2 linked regions of the Saccharomyces cerevisiae S288C genome follow. The protein of the gene in region 2 purifies or fractionates together with the protein of the main gene of each other region. This does not show direct contact. Each region holds a gene or a part of one and is shown on either strand. Other genes may lie near its edges.

Region 1 (7,665 bases), on a different chromosome or scaffold from region 2:
ACGTTTGTACAGTTAAGCATATATACTTTGATAGAGTACTTTCATACCTCATACCACTTGAAAAATGATAATATAATGTTATAATACTACCTCATAATTGCTATAAAGTAAAACAATTCGGCGTTGTAGTTTATGCTTCTATAATCACAAAAAAATTTCACTGAAGTTGTCAGATTCTGCCGCAAGGCTTCTCATAGATTTTGTTAAGTGGTCTTACTCGGTTTTATGGCTTGAAGGTTAACATAATTATGAAAACTTATTGATATCCTCCCCACCCCTAACGTTTTAAAAATGATCTCGTCCAATATGTTTGAGGTGAATAATATCGGACCAGTTCTTGTTTTTAAAAGATAAGAATTGCTCATATTTCCCATACTTGTTGGAAAATTTCTCTCAACAATTGTATGAAGGCAAAATCCCTCAATTGAAACATTAAAATAGTGATTAGAAAAACAGGATTAATCAGTTATACGAACGTATTTTTGAGAGAATATAATGAGAATACAATGAGCTTCAGAAGATCTGTTTTTCTTTACTTGGCACTTCTTCCTCAACAATTATTGGCACTACAAAATTTTCTAATTAAATGTTAAAGATCCCACAGACATCATTCGTATATATCCTCCCATTTTATACGGTTAGCCAACTTTGCGATCCTACGGAAATTGCTATTTTTATAGTCAACTCATTGATCTCGAGCACAGCTGCTCTTTTCTCTCAATGAATTACGTTATATGTTAATCACACAAGCATCAGTTTTTCATCGCAAAAGAAAATATTTAGAGTTCTTGCAATTCAGATGTACCTCAATTAATAACTCAATCACCTCCTATGTTCTTGCTGGTAGTACTGCTTTTGTCTTAATTACTGCTGAATCAGCCTTCTAGAAGACCGTTCTGTTTCAGCCGCTCGCCCCTTTTCAAAGCTTGCGCGGCTGAGTTTTATGAGGGGCGGCTTTTTTGTGAATGGCAATCTACCATTATTAGTAGCAATATGATTTGCAGATAGATACATATATATCCTTCTGGGTTCATGTCTCGTTACCATCCACACTAATGCATAGGACCAGAAAGAAAGGACATCGAATCCAACACGTATTAAAATAAGGACTCCTCATTAAAAAGGCTTTTAATATTCAACTTGCTATAGATCACGCACCCTTTTGGCAAGTCAACCTTAAATTATTATGATTTCTGTTTGCCCACAAAATGACTTGCAAAAATGCTACAGAAGCCTCACATTCGATGTTCCAGGACAACAATTCGAAGAGAGAAATGAACAAAACCTTAAAAAACGGGCCAAAAAGAAAGGCAGTTTCCAACCATCTGTTGCCTTTGACACAGTGCCTTCCACCGCTGGTTATTCTTCTATAGACGACAGCAGGGAAGGATTCAAAGGTGTACCTGTTCCCAACTATTACACGATGGAAGAGTGCTATGACGATGAAACAGACTCTTTTTCGCCAAATTTGCAATATTATTTGAGAGATACATTCCAATCATCACCTTTTCTGAATACTAGAAAAGAGAACAAATCTGAATCCAGTAGTTTTCCAATGAGATCCTCAAAGTTGTTGGAAAAGAATTCTGACATCAAAAAATATTTCTTGGTATCCAAGAATGGAAAAATAGTGAGGAGAGACTATCCAAGCACGCCAGTAATTGTCAACGAAACGTTGATGATAAACAGGTTTGAAAAGAACTGGATAAAGTTATGGCGCCAAAGAAAACTACAAATAAATGAAAGGCTGAATGACAAAAAAAAATGGTTTACTTACCCAGAACTTATCTTCTCTGAAGAGCGTATTAAACCGTTATATAGAGGAGATGATAGTGCACCATGTACAAAAGAACAAAAAAGAAAGCATAAAATACTTCAACAAAAGGTCGGATATCCCAATAACCCTAAGACAATAGTTTGTCACATTAACGGAAAAAAACATACGTGGGTTGCCCTAGACTGGACAGTCTACAAGTTTGCACGAAATCTTGATCACATTGTTGTCATAACTACACTGCCAAAAATGATTTCTAACAGGAAAAAAACTGCAAAAGATGATACAGAATGGGCACCGGGATATCAAAAAGAAGTAATAGATCAAAAATTAAACGACATTTTTGATTATATTTTACAGCTAGTAAAAGTGGTCAAAATATCCGTCAAAATTACTTTAGAAATAATTGTAGGCAAAATTAAAAAAAGTCTGGTAGATGTCATTAATGTCCATACTCCAGATTTCTTAGTTCTTGCTACTTTAAAGCACGAGCGAAATGAGAATCTTATTACATATAAATCCAAAAAGCTGACAGATGTCTTTCCTGTTAGTTATCCGATTCCCACATTTGTTGTTCCCTCGAAACGAATGTATTCGTTCGAACTGAATCTACAAAGAGAAGTAAATGAACATTATGTCTCAAAAAATCATATGAAGCACGAACACACTGACGTTGAGAGCATGAGCAGTTCAATGTTCAAAAAAAATACAATATCAGATATTTCTTCACATATTTCCGTAGATTCGTACGCCGAAGATTTCAAAAGGCAAGGCTACATCAAAAAGCAGTTCAACACCTCTAATGATTCCATTCCAAGAAAATTGACCGGTCTCGCCCAGCATTCAAGAAGGAAGATCACGGGTGATATAGAAAAATTACAAGACGATGAGAAAGATAGAGAATGTACTAAGGAAAAACTTTTGTTGAAGAAAATTGATATCATAATTAGAGAGTCATTGAAGTCTTCTTTAGCGATAGAGACGTTGCCTGGTAAAAATGTATCGCAGTCCAGTCACGGTGACCAAATTTCCAGCTTTAAGAATGCTTTGATAGGCAATGGGTCGAAAAACACAAAGTTTAGAAAATCTTTAATACCATATTCTTCCTCAGAGGAACAAAATACCACAACAACTATTAAACTCAGTAGCTCGCCTACGTCCCAAATCAAGTTTGCAACCTCTGTAAAACACAAAGATGGAAGAGCCGCCCTTGGCAAAGCCAGAAATCTGCCTGATATAAGGCACAGTATTTCCTTCGACAAAGAAAATTCCTTTGATCCATCTGATAAAAGCAGTAGTGTTGATAATAGCATTCCTTTGAGGAAAGTTAAAAGTGCCGGTGCGTTAAGAAAAGTCAAAACTAATGACTCCTCAAGTAGTGCAGGGTCAAAGAAAAGCTCGTCTAGTTTTAGTACTGTGAACACCTTCACTGGGGGTGGAGTTGGGATTTTTAAGGTGTTTAAAAGTGGAAGTTCCTCTGGAAATAAATCATCCAGTAGAAGGAATAGTAGCAGTGGCGATGTTTTTGAAAGTGATGATCGTAACGACAAGAAAAAGAAGAAGAAAAAAAAGAAGAAATCATTGTTCTTATTCGGCAAAATATGAGCGGATAGTTTGTACACATAGTGTCCCTAAAATTCCTATTGATGAATAGATCAATTTTATTAGCAGACAATTGGGGGCAGCAACTGAATAGCAGAAGAAATTTGAGTTCAATTATTTTTTTTTCCTGTCATACATAATGGCCTATTTACAGGTACATACATATAGAGTATGTATATAAAATCTCTGTTGAAGAAGACATCATTCTTAGTCCTTGGCAATCTTAGCCAGGATTTCAGCGTCCCTGAAAAGAATAACTTCATCGTCGTTACCCAATTTAATGGTAGAACCACCAAACTGTGGAATCAAAACTTGGTCACCAACTTTAACTTGAGGAACAACCTTATTACCATTAGCATCAGTAAAGCCCGGGCCTACGGCAACAACTTCAGCTTGGTTTAACTTCTCCACGTTCTTTTCAGGTAAATACAACCCGGATGCTGTCTTTGCTTGTGCCTTGATTCTTTGGACAAGGACACGGTCCATCAATGGAACGATAGATTTAGCAGACTTCAAAAGGGTGGACATTCTTTTTTTTCTGTAGATTCAATATATTTTCGATCAATGGCTTCTATCAGAAATTATTTTAAACCTAGCACATAATAAGTTTGTACTGTATAAGCGTTTTGACTAATTTTATACATAATCAAGCTTCTTTTTCCCATTCCTTCAAGATTCTAGAAATTTCTATCATTGATGACGGGCATTACCCCGTTAATGACCTTCACACGAATGAGAATTGGGCGGCTAATGAGAGAACTTCGAGAGGTGCAATAAGTGAGAAATAACAACTTTAGAACTCATTATGATTGCTTCCAATACCTAATCCTACGTATGTACTAAATTAAAAAGACAGACATGCATTATTGAATATTGACATTTTGAGAGTAACTTTTTATTATGAGTGGCATAATAAGATAATCGACGCAAGCCACAATTTATACAATAAAAAATGCTACCATCGCTGCTACATATGAACGAAAATAATACAACTATCGTTACGGCCTTTGCTGAACCGTAATAAAATAAAATTCCTTGTTACATTTTTTTAGCCAGCTGCCTCAGAAAGAGGCGTTTACTATTTAATGGAGAAAGAAAGCAAAGAAAAATAAAAGGTATTTTCTTTACGGAAAGCCTTCGAGCAATCCAGGAGAAAGTGGACCTTTTTTTCCCAATGAAGAGATCATAGGAGTATGGATTGAAAATATAATAGAACTTCGGGTAACGAGGTGTAATTTCACAGTCCATAATACAGAGCTAACGGTTTAAGGGTAAATAGTTATCTAAGTCAAGTTTTGAAGGAACAAGTAAGAAAGGTCGCTACTGTTTCTAAACATAAGATATACAAAAATAAATATAGCTATCTCAATGGGTGCTGCATACAAAGTATTTGGGAAGACGGTTCAACCTCACGTATTGGCTATATCTACGTTTATCGCTACTGCTGCAGTGGCATCTTACTTTACCACGAAACCAAAAACCAAAAATGAAGGCAAGAATAGTTCTGCCTTGAGCCAACAAAAAAGCGGTGAAAGTTCAAACTCAGATGCTATGGGAAAGGACGATGATGTCGTAAAGAGTATTGAAGGATTTTTAAATGATTTAGAGAAAGATACGAGGCAGGATACGAAAGCCAACTGATTATGTATAAAAATTTCTGAAATGGTGGTGTTCTTCATCGTTCAGTGAAGGGATGCACTGATTTCTATAAACTTGAAGCACTTTTTGAAACTACTGTTCTATAACGAAAATTAGCGTCCTTCTTTCTATTAAGTATGCATTATACATATAATTCAATATATTCTGAATAGCAAAACGGCAATGAAAAAAAAAAAACACTGAAAATACTTGCCTTAGGCCATTGTGCATGATACGAATATGCACAAAACTTGCCTCTTTTTACTTTACGGATCAATGACAACACTCAGGTGTAAGTGATAGTTGATGGCCTTTCAATATTTGAAAGGCTGGAAGATAATTATAAAAAATCGAACTAATTGCCTATGATTGTTTCATTACTGAGACTATTTTTTCACCTCAAGGGGGTCGTCTGAATTAGCAAAGCCATGGCAACTAGTGCAGTGCTTGAAGTCACCAGCTCGTTTGGTTTTAGATGCAAGTAATGTAAAGAAATTAATTTAAATAAAATAATAAAAGTTTCTACTTTTTTTTTCAATTAAAAAGCATAATACAACCAATCAATTTTATCCTATTTGGCCTGACAATGATGATATCATAAAAGTAAACGGTTCCTTGTTTTTATTTTTCTTGCATGCACTTTTCAGAAGTCTTGGTAGCGCTACTAACGCAAAATACGAAATATTCATTGGCTAATAAACTTGATTTTTTCATTGAATGTCGTTTTTGAACTATATACAATATAATTAATGCTACGACCCTAAACTTTTCAACTAACTCTTTGACAAGGAAGCATCATCACTTATTACAACCATAGAATGTTACTTAAAGGACTGTTCTCATCTACATCAACAGATCGTCCAAACTTTGAGCAGAATCCTTCTTGATCAAATCCAACATCCCTTCAGGCAAAATAGGTTTACCTTCTTTATCTAAAACGTATCTAAATGGCATTTCCGTGGCCTCATTTTTATTGAACCTAAATTCAGGGTAGTCAATGAACTTGATGTCTTCAAATGCAATCCTGTCTTTGATAATCAACTGTGTTGTTCTTATGGCAGTATCCGTAGTCATTTGTTTATCACCTAGTCTTCTGCTAATTAAAAGATTCGGATAGGCAGTCTTTAGTTCTTTGGTACGATCTCTTGGAGGATGATCACCCAATATGCCACCAAATACGAAATAGTCGAATTTCGTAGCATCCTCCGGCTGTAAATCGATTGTAGCCCTAGGGTCCAATAGACAGACTCTGCCATCTTTTAACAGTTCCAAATCCTTGAAATCTTCGTTAATGCCCTTCAAATCCTTTGTAGTCCATCTTAAACCAAGTTTTAGTAGCCTTTGAGGGATGTCCTTTTCCGTGGTACTCTCTGGTAACGATGATAAAATCAAGTTTTCAGCTCCTACTTCTCTCAGGATTTGGCTATACTCTAAAATGACCCATTCACTAAACCCTTCCTCCATATGCTCAATAATGTACTTCATCGTATATCTAGAAATAATCTCCACAGCTGTATCAATCTATATTAACAATAGATATGCCCCTCAACATCTAATAAGCAAAGGGCATTGCTCTTTTACAATACTCGATGAGCTTACCGAAAATTTCTAATCCAAAATAACGGAAAAAATTGAAAAGGTGTCAATCCTGTTACCCGCAAGTTGAAGTACGGAAAGAATACAACCTTACACAGTGGAACTATAATAGACAGTAAAGAAAAAAGTTAAAAAAAACTTGTGCCTTGCGTTTACTGATCAACCAGTCTTTCTTTTTACATATATTTCTGATGCATTTTCATGTTTACTTAAAATTTCTTTTAGGATAAACGCTGCAATATCCGGTTCTTCGAAATAAGAAACATGTGATTTTATAGCTGATATAAAATCCACTTCTAGCAGACTTGGAGACATAGCATAATCTAGACGTCCGGTGTAATTCAAACCTGTAAGCATTCTCGTAAGATTTTCTGATAACTTGACCTCTTTTTTTTCTGGAGAAGTTTTTTTGGACTGCAAATTATTTTCATCAGTACCTGGCAAATCTTTCCATATGTTTTCGCCAAATTCCAAAACTTTAGAAGTTAGTCCATAAGCTTCACTACAATGTGGTAAATAAGTTTGTTCGTAATGAGCCATTTCTTTACTAACAAGAGGTTCCATCCTATAAGAAATGGGATCACAGACGTGGTAAACATTATAAATGTCCTTACATTGCGGTCTCTGTACGGTTAATTTTCTCTCCAAGTCATTGGGAAATTCGGGACGGTCACCAATTTTTGTTCTTTGAATTAACTTTAACAATCCAATTGGTGAGCCAATAAAGAACAGGTTGTCTACTTGAAATTCTAATTCATATTTTTTTTGTTTGGATAGAATATCAAATAATATCATACTACCCAACGAATGGCCCACTAAATGGACTTTCCCATCAAACTCTGGATTAAATTCTTTAAAAATCCGATATGTTTTGTTCAATTGAGAGGTTACTTGTTGTAGAATCATATCTTGGTAGTATGGTTCGACATACAACAAAATATCTAGTAGACCGTCAGCCAGTAGCTTCCTCAAGGGTAACACTCCATTTACTGTGACTTGTGACAAAGTCGGTAGGTCAGGATTTTCTATATTTTCCTCCTTAGCATCCGTTTGGA
Region 2 (8,119 bases):
CATTCAAGGCAACTATACCAGTCGCTGGGCCATATCCAACATCAAGGATTCTTTGAGGTTTAAAATTATCAGGACCTACCCTTTTTTGTAATTCTTTCAGACTTTGGAAAATAGAACCATAATTTTGTAAAAAAATGGACGCTATATGTGCATCCACTTCCATTTTGGTTCTACAGGGACGATGTAATGAATTTGGTTCCTGAATCTCTTTGTAATAATTTGTAGCAACCCTTCTAAGATTATTGGGAATATGTACAGCCATAATATTATTGTTGATTGCTTTGCTTACATCAGGATTCAACTCTAATTGGTCCCGGTACGACTGGCCCTGAAGTGTTTTGGAAAGTAATCTGAGCTCTTTAGAATTAGTTGCTTGAGTGGTGCTAGCGGTTTCATCTCTGTACGACGGAAGAACATTGATTCCTCTTTTATTTGAGTCTATAAAATCCGCCAAATCTAACTTTGGTAAGTTTAAACTTGTGAACTTTGAGCTGAACCGGACATTTTGTGGTAGGATACTGAAGCATCTTTTCATCATTTTACCTAAACTAGACGGGCCACCTTATGTCCTAAAGTGTCAGAGGTTTTGCTGCAATACTGTTCTTAATTTTTCACCATTCACTTTTTTCATCTAGTGGCGGAAAAAAATAAGAGATATGGAAAACAAATATGAACCATCATTAAACTTGAAAAAGATGAGAAGAAAAGAAATAGTTAGGCTTTAAGTGTCTGTATTGATCAATTAATTATTACTTTACCACTGCTGTTTATTAGCATAATAGCACACGGGATCAGAATGCTTAGTAATACACTTATTATTGCCTGTTTATTGGTGATAGGGACAACCATAGCGCTAATAGCAGTGCAAAAGGCATCCTCCAAGACAGGGATCAAGCAAAAAAGTTATCAACCATCTATTATCATTGCAGGTCCTCAAAATTCTGGAAAAACGAGCTTGCTTACGCTGCTAACCACAGATTCAGTAAGACCAACTGTTGTTTCTCAAGAACCGTTATCAGCAGCGGATTACGATGGTTCCGGCGTCACGTTAGTGGACTTCCCAGGCCATGTCAAGTTGCGTTATAAACTCTCAGATTATTTGAAAACAAGAGCCAAATTTGTTAAAGGGTTGATATTTATGGTAGACTCAACAGTTGATCCTAAGAAATTAACAACAACAGCTGAGTTCTTGGTAGACATATTATCAATTACTGAATCTAGTTGCGAAAATGGTATTGATATCTTAATTGCATGCAATAAAAGCGAATTGTTCACTGCAAGACCACCATCAAAGATCAAGGATGCTTTAGAAAGCGAAATTCAAAAGGTTATTGAAAGAAGGAAAAAATCGTTGAACGAGGTTGAAAGAAAAATTAACGAAGAAGATTATGCAGAGAATACACTAGACGTTTTACAGTCTACCGACGGGTTCAAATTTGCAAATTTGGAAGCATCTGTAGTTGCTTTTGAGGGCAGTATTAATAAAAGAAAAATTTCCCAATGGCGCGAATGGATAGATGAAAAACTGTAATATAATTATAATTTATAACTAGATGAACGATAGATAGTTTAAAAACAAGCATTTAACATAGCTCTAGATTCCGTACGCAGAGAAAGACATAGTTGCATCATCGACACATGCAATATCAAAAGTAACTCTTTTTGACTGCTGGTGTAAAAAACACTCACGATGGGGGTCGAACCCATAATCTTCTGATTAGAAGTCAGACGCGTTGCCATTACGCCACGCGAGCTAATATTTGTTTGATGTTCCAGCAGTTATATGATCTAATTATGCGGGAAAATAATTGAAGATAAGTAGTTTGATGTATTTTTATTATAGTATTATATTTTCTGATTTGGTTATAGCAAGCAGCGTTTTTTTTCTTCTTTACCATAATCATTGTACCAGGAAATTTTGTTCATAATTATTGTGTTGATTGTCAATGGTCAAAGGTACAACTAATGAAGATTAAATATGGTGAATAGGAGGCCTGCTAGCCACCGTACATTTAATATGTCCGCGTGTTGGAATAAAAATCAACTATCGTCATCAACTAGTGGTTATACTACCAGTATATTATCTTATATGGTGTCAAATGTGGACATGATGACATAAGGTATGAGAAACTGTCATCGAAGTTAGAGAAAGCTGAAATACAAGGATCAATAATGTAATAGGATAATGAAACATATGAAATGGAATGAGGAACAATCGTGATATTATTATGTAGAAATATCGATTCCTTTTTGGGGATGCCTATATCCTCGAGGAGACACTTCCAGTATATTCTGTATACATAATATAACAGCCTTTATCAACATTGGAATCCCAACAATTATCTCAAAATTCACCAACCTCTCATGGCGCATATTCATCATGCATGTAACTACCACATCAATGTTCAATCATGGACTTTTAACTAATCTTAAGTACTATTCGAACTGCCCATTCAGCTTTTCCCTTTGCAATTGGTGCACTCCTACTTGAACGAATTCGCGGGGTGTACATTAAACTACGATGTAAACATCAAGGTTATTGCTATAACATGTCATGTCACCATTAATTACCACTCATTCCAACATACTGTCCCTGACGAAAACTGTTTATGCGAGCGCAAAATGAACCTATTCAATTAATAATACTCCTCAAATTGCTACCACGACAGGCTGAAAAAAGATGTCGACGAATAATGTAATCGTGTCAAACAAACGTTATCTTGACTATATATAGCTACTTAATTTGAAATAATAAACTATACAAGTCTATATCATTGATATATTCAGTAAGAAAAATGGAGGGAAAAAGAAATCATCAAATCATTCATTCTTCAGACTTATTTCTTACCTTGGTTGGCAACAGCAGCGGCACCAGCAGCGGCAGCTTCTGGGTCCAAGTAGTAAGATGGCTTAGATGGCTTCAAGTTTTCGTCCAATTCGAAGACCAATGGAATACCAGTTGGGATGTTCAACTTAGCAATGTCAGCATCAGAGATACCTTCCAAGTGCTTAACCAAACCTCTCAAGGAGTTACCGTGAGCGGCGATCATGACGGTCTTACCACTCAACAAGTCCTTGGCAATGACATCTTGCCAGTATGGCAACAATCTGTCAATGACCAAAGCCAAAGATTCAGTTTCTGGCAAGACATTTGGGTCAACGTACTTGTATCTTTCATCACCCTTTTGAGAGAATGGAGAAGAAGCGTCGATTGGGGGAGGTGGAACATCGAAGGATCTTCTGTAGGTGTTGAATTTTTCTTCACCGAACTTCTTCAAAGTTTCAGCCTTGTCCTTACCTTGTAAGTCACCGTAATGTCTTTCGTTCAATCTCCAGGATCTGTTGACTGGAATCCATAATCTGTCAGCCTTTTCCAAAGCAATGTTAGCAGTTTGGATAGCTCTGGACAACTTGGAAGTGTACAAGACGTCTGGGTAGACCTTCTTTTCCTTCAACAATTCACCGGCTCTAGCGGCTTCTTGTTGACCCTTGGCAGACAATTTAACATCAACCCAACCGGTGAATAAGTTCTTTTCGTTCCATTCGGATTGACCGTGTCTAACTAAAACTAACTTTGGCATTATTGTAATATGTGTGTTTGTTTGGATTATTAAGAAGAATAATTACAAAAAAAATTACAAAGGAAGGTAATTACAACAGAATTAAGAAAGGACAAGAAGGAGGAAGAGAATCAGTTCATTATTTCTTCTTTGTTATATAACAAACCCAAGTAGCGATTTGGCCATACATTAAAAGTTGAGAACCACCCTCCCTGGCAACAGCCACAACTCGTTACCATTGTTCATCACGATCATGAAACTCGCTGTCAGCTGAAATTTCACCTCAGTGGATCTCTCTTTTTATTCTTCATCGTTCCACTAACCTTTTTCCATCAGCTGGCAGGGAACGGAAAGTGGAATCCCATTTAGCGAGCTTCCTCTTTTCTTCAAGAAAAGACGAAGCTTGTGTGTGGGTGCGCGCGCTAGTATCTTTCCACATTAAGAAATATACCATAAAGGTTACTTAGACATCACTATGGCTATATATATATATATATATATATATATATATATATGTAACTTAGCACCATCGCGCGTGCATCACTGCATGTGTTAACCGAAAAGTTTGGCGAACACTTCACCGACACGGTCATTTAGATCTGTCGTCTGCATTGCACGTCCCTTAGCCTTAAATCCTAGGCGGGAGCATTCTCGTGTAATTGTGCAGCCTGCGTAGCAACTCAACATAGCGTAGTCTACCCAGTTTTTCAAGGGTTTATCGTTAGAAGATTCTCCCTTTTCTTCCTGCTCACAAATCTTAAAGTCATACATTGCACGACTAAATGCAAGCATGCATGATATAGCTCCTGTCAAAGTATCACCTTGGCCTCCTACCCTCTTGTTGCTGCCCTCTTCGCTGTTCGTCAACATGTCTTTTTCACTATCGGGTGAGAATATCTTATCTGACTGACCTTTCTCCACCACAATACAATTCAATTCCTGGGCGATCAAGCTGCCCATCTCGGAGTGAGAGTCTCCCTTCTTGCCTATGGCATCACATAGTCTTTTGAATTCTACCACATTGGGCGTCAAGATCACTCTACCTTTGGGGTAGCTTTTCAGCATTTCTTTGACTTCGCTATCTTGAGTTACTAAGAACAGTCCATCAGCATCAATTACTAACGGGATCTTGCCCTCATGTTTTTCAAGTATATATCTTATGATATCCTTAATGGATTTTAACATTAGGGGGTCCCTACCCAAGCCGGGTCCAATTACCACAACGTGGATTCTATCCAATAAGGAATTGATTTTCTTCCTTTGTTCGTCCATATCAACGTCTAATTTGGTGTTACTCATACGAAGGTATGGATGAACCATTAGGTTTGGGGTGTACGATTTAATGACCGTACCAGCGTTGTATTCGCAGATGACATGTGTCAAATCACAGCCCATCAAGGCTGTAGCATTGGCGCTGAAATACGGTGCCCCTGTATAATCTTCGCATCCTCCAATAATGCAAACTCTCCCACCAGACTGTCCCTTATGAAACTTTGGCAATAAAGGTGGTATACATCTTTTCTGCGCCAACTTTATCAATTCTCTATGAGACAATTCTGCTAACATTTCCAGTGATACGGTAGTGATCGTATTGAACTGGTGTTGCTAATAAAATTTCACCGACGCCTATATACCTATTTACACCTTTACATATATATCTACTAGATCACGTTGCAAGACCCATCACATCGCATCACATCACATCACTCCCTATTCTGCCCTTTACAGCGCAAAGGAGTCGTGTGTGGGTGTGTGCTCCTTTTGACGATCATAAGAGTCCATTTCTAGTATGCAAGCTGGTAACAATAGGTGAATGAATTAGGTTCATTTGCGATGACCTTCAGTATCCCTCCACGCAATGCTAAACTATCCCCCTCATTATGACGCCTATATCGTATAAGGAACTTGTTACCCCTGACAATTCAAACTTCAAAGGTCTAAGACCAAACAAGCGTAGGAACTATCGCTCGGAGTGTTTCTCCGTTTGAAAAAAGAAGAGAAATAAGGGCCCTTGATTGGTGTCTTGTCGAGAGAGGTACGTATATAAGAATGCAGTTTGCTCGCAATGCCCGCTTGTGTTAAGTACTCTTACCTTTTCCCTCAATACTAACGTTTTGAAGCAGCCAAACTAACAATAGTATAACGTATATAGGTTAAAATAATATTCCAAGTCAAAAACATGTTTTCCAGATTATCCAGATCTCACTCAAAAGCATTACCGATTGCTCTAGGTACAGTTGCTATAGCAGCTGCTACCGCATTCTATTTTGCAAACCGTAACCAACATTCCTTTGTCTTCAATGAATCTAATAAAGTGTTCAAAGGTGATGACAAATGGATCGACTTGCCAATATCTAAAATAGAGGAGGAATCCCACGACACCAGAAGGTTTACTTTTAAGCTGCCTACCGAAGACTCAGAAATGGGGTTGGTCCTAGCATCTGCTCTGTTTGCTAAATTTGTCACACCAAAGGGATCCAATGTGGTGAGACCATACACTCCTGTGAGTGATCTTTCCCAGAAGGGTCACTTCCAGCTGGTCGTCAAGCATTATGAAGGTGGTAAAATGACCTCACATTTATTTGGTCTTAAACCAAATGACACCGTTTCTTTCAAGGGTCCTATTATGAAATGGAAGTGGCAACCTAATCAGTTCAAGTCAATCACCTTGTTAGGTGCCGGTACCGGTATCAACCCTCTGTACCAATTAGCTCATCATATAGTTGAAAACCCAAACGACAAGACCAAAGTTAACTTGCTATATGGGAACAAGACTCCTCAGGACATTTTACTAAGGAAGGAACTGGATGCGTTGAAGGAAAAGTATCCTGACAAGTTCAATGTTACTTACTTTGTTGACGACAAGCAAGATGACCAAGACTTTGATGGTGAAATTAGTTTCATCTCCAAAGATTTTATTCAGGAGCATGTTCCAGGTCCAAAGGAAAGCACACATTTGTTTGTCTGCGGTCCCCCACCATTTATGAACGCTTACTCAGGTGAGAAGAAGTCACCTAAGGACCAAGGTGAATTGATCGGTATCTTGAACAATTTGGGCTACTCCAAGGACCAAGTTTTCAAATTTTAAGCATGGAGGAAAGTAATTGATATTTTTTTTAATTTCGGATCGTTCAAATTAGTAAATATATAAAAAATATATATATATTCATGTGTATGACTAAAAATTCTCTCAAGAAGGCTTGGCTTTAAGCTCTAATTCCGTCTGCATTCGTAATAGAAATATCTCTCAAGTCATGAATTTAGAGATAAATGCTTTAGTTTGTCGTACTTCATCTTTCTGAATATCTAAGGTGTATGCAGGAATGGCATAATTTTCCCAATCAATATCCCTTCCTTCCTCTCTATTAGATTGAGACAGTTCTATCCAATTGACGCTATTAAACGGTTTATTGCTTAGGAGATTCTTATTTTTTTGACAAATTACCAAATTATTGATAAATTCAGGATCCCAGAACATACGGTGATTCTCGTCCTTCCACGAAGCATGCGATGTATCCGGTTCTATTTCCAGAATTTCTAACCAACGTCTTCTTGGCAGGCACTTGTCCAACGCCAAGAACCGTGTCTCGCCGTATTTGGAATCATACTCATTCTCTTCTTGGCAATTCATAATACCAGACCTTTCGTCCTCGTCACTGGATAAATCCAAATCTATTTCATTATTGTTTTTTTTTGTCTTTGAAGTTGACTTATTAGGCGGTTCGTGGCTTCTTTTATTATGCTTAATGGAGGCCATGAACCTGACATGCAAATGGGCGCTCAACCACCATTGAGGCCGCAAATCTCTTAGTAGTTGCCAGGTCACTGGGCTGCCTAGTTTTCCCTCTTTAATATCTTGCTCAAAAAAAGGCTTAAGCTTCAACAAGTGCTTAGTATCGCCATGATAAACGACTCCATTGGGCCAATCGTGGCTCAGCATAATATCAATACGATGCTTGATCATAAAAAGAGGAGCAATATCAGAAATTCTTACATGATACAGATTTCTTATGTTAGCTTTCCAATTGTTATTTTCTAGGTCATTCCAATCTGGTCGTTGCTTATTGAAATCCCACTCTTTCCATATCCCGCTCAATGAACCTATCCTTATGCCTTTAAACCATATAACGTTAGAGTATCCCATATAAAAAATGTTCTTTGCTACATAACCACCATGTGGCAGAAGCATTAAATGTCTCATCGATTCATGATTACCGCCAATAAAAATAGTAGGGACTGGGGCTTCAATCTCATTATTGTAGTATGATATGAAATCACCGAGTCTTTGATATTTTGGTGGTATGGCTATTGACTTAAAATCCTGACCATCACGAATACTTTGAAAATCTCCAAGAATAATTAATAGATCGATGGGAGTCTTCGCATGGATTCGTGACACTTCTTTATAAATTTGGTTTAGCTGACCATGACAGCACCCTTGTACAGCAATTCGCAATTTAGTCATAAGCAAAATGATAAATGTCTGCCCATCTTAATTTTTAGTTACATATTTACGTTCGCCATATGACTTTCTCCTGCTCATTTTTTGTGAGGGCCAG

The links.
Region 1: the proteins of GPM1 (region 2) and HSP10 purify together in Saccharomyces cerevisiae (affinity purification with mass spectrometry; 2 studies listed by BioGRID, with this or other methods). This does not show direct contact.

The regions. Positions count from the first base shown.
Region 1 is NC_001147.6:366,941-374,605, forward strand, and holds HSP10 (Hsp10p), read right to left. Parts: upstream 3,905-7,665; coding exon 3,584-3,904; downstream 1-3,583. Other genes in the region: YOR019W (uncharacterized protein), read left to right, coding at 1,187-3,379; MCO10 (Mco10p), read left to right, coding at 4,745-5,017; protein-arginine N-methyltransferase SFM1, read right to left, coding at 5,858-6,499; DDL1 (putative carboxylic ester hydrolase), read right to left, coding at 6,770-7,665. UniProt on the Saccharomyces cerevisiae protein: Eukaryotic CPN10 homolog which is essential for mitochondrial protein biogenesis, together with CPN60. Binds to CPN60 in the presence of Mg-ATP and suppresses the ATPase activity of the latter.
Region 2 is NC_001143.9:160,805-168,923, forward strand, and holds GPM1 (phosphoglycerate mutase GPM1), read right to left. Parts: upstream 3,582-8,119; coding exon 2,838-3,581; downstream 1-2,837. Other genes in the region: tRNA methyltransferase RSM22, read right to left, coding at 1-538; SRP102 (Signal recognition particle receptor subunit beta), read left to right, coding at 797-1,531; NNR2 (NADHX dehydratase), read right to left, coding at 4,113-5,126; MCR1 (cytochrome-b5 reductase), read left to right, coding at 5,740-6,648; DBR1 (RNA lariat debranching enzyme), read right to left, coding at 6,808-8,025. UniProt on the Saccharomyces cerevisiae protein: Interconversion of 3- and 2-phosphoglycerate with 2,3-bisphosphoglycerate as the primer of the reaction. Can also catalyze the reaction of EC 5.4.2.4 (synthase), but with a reduced activity.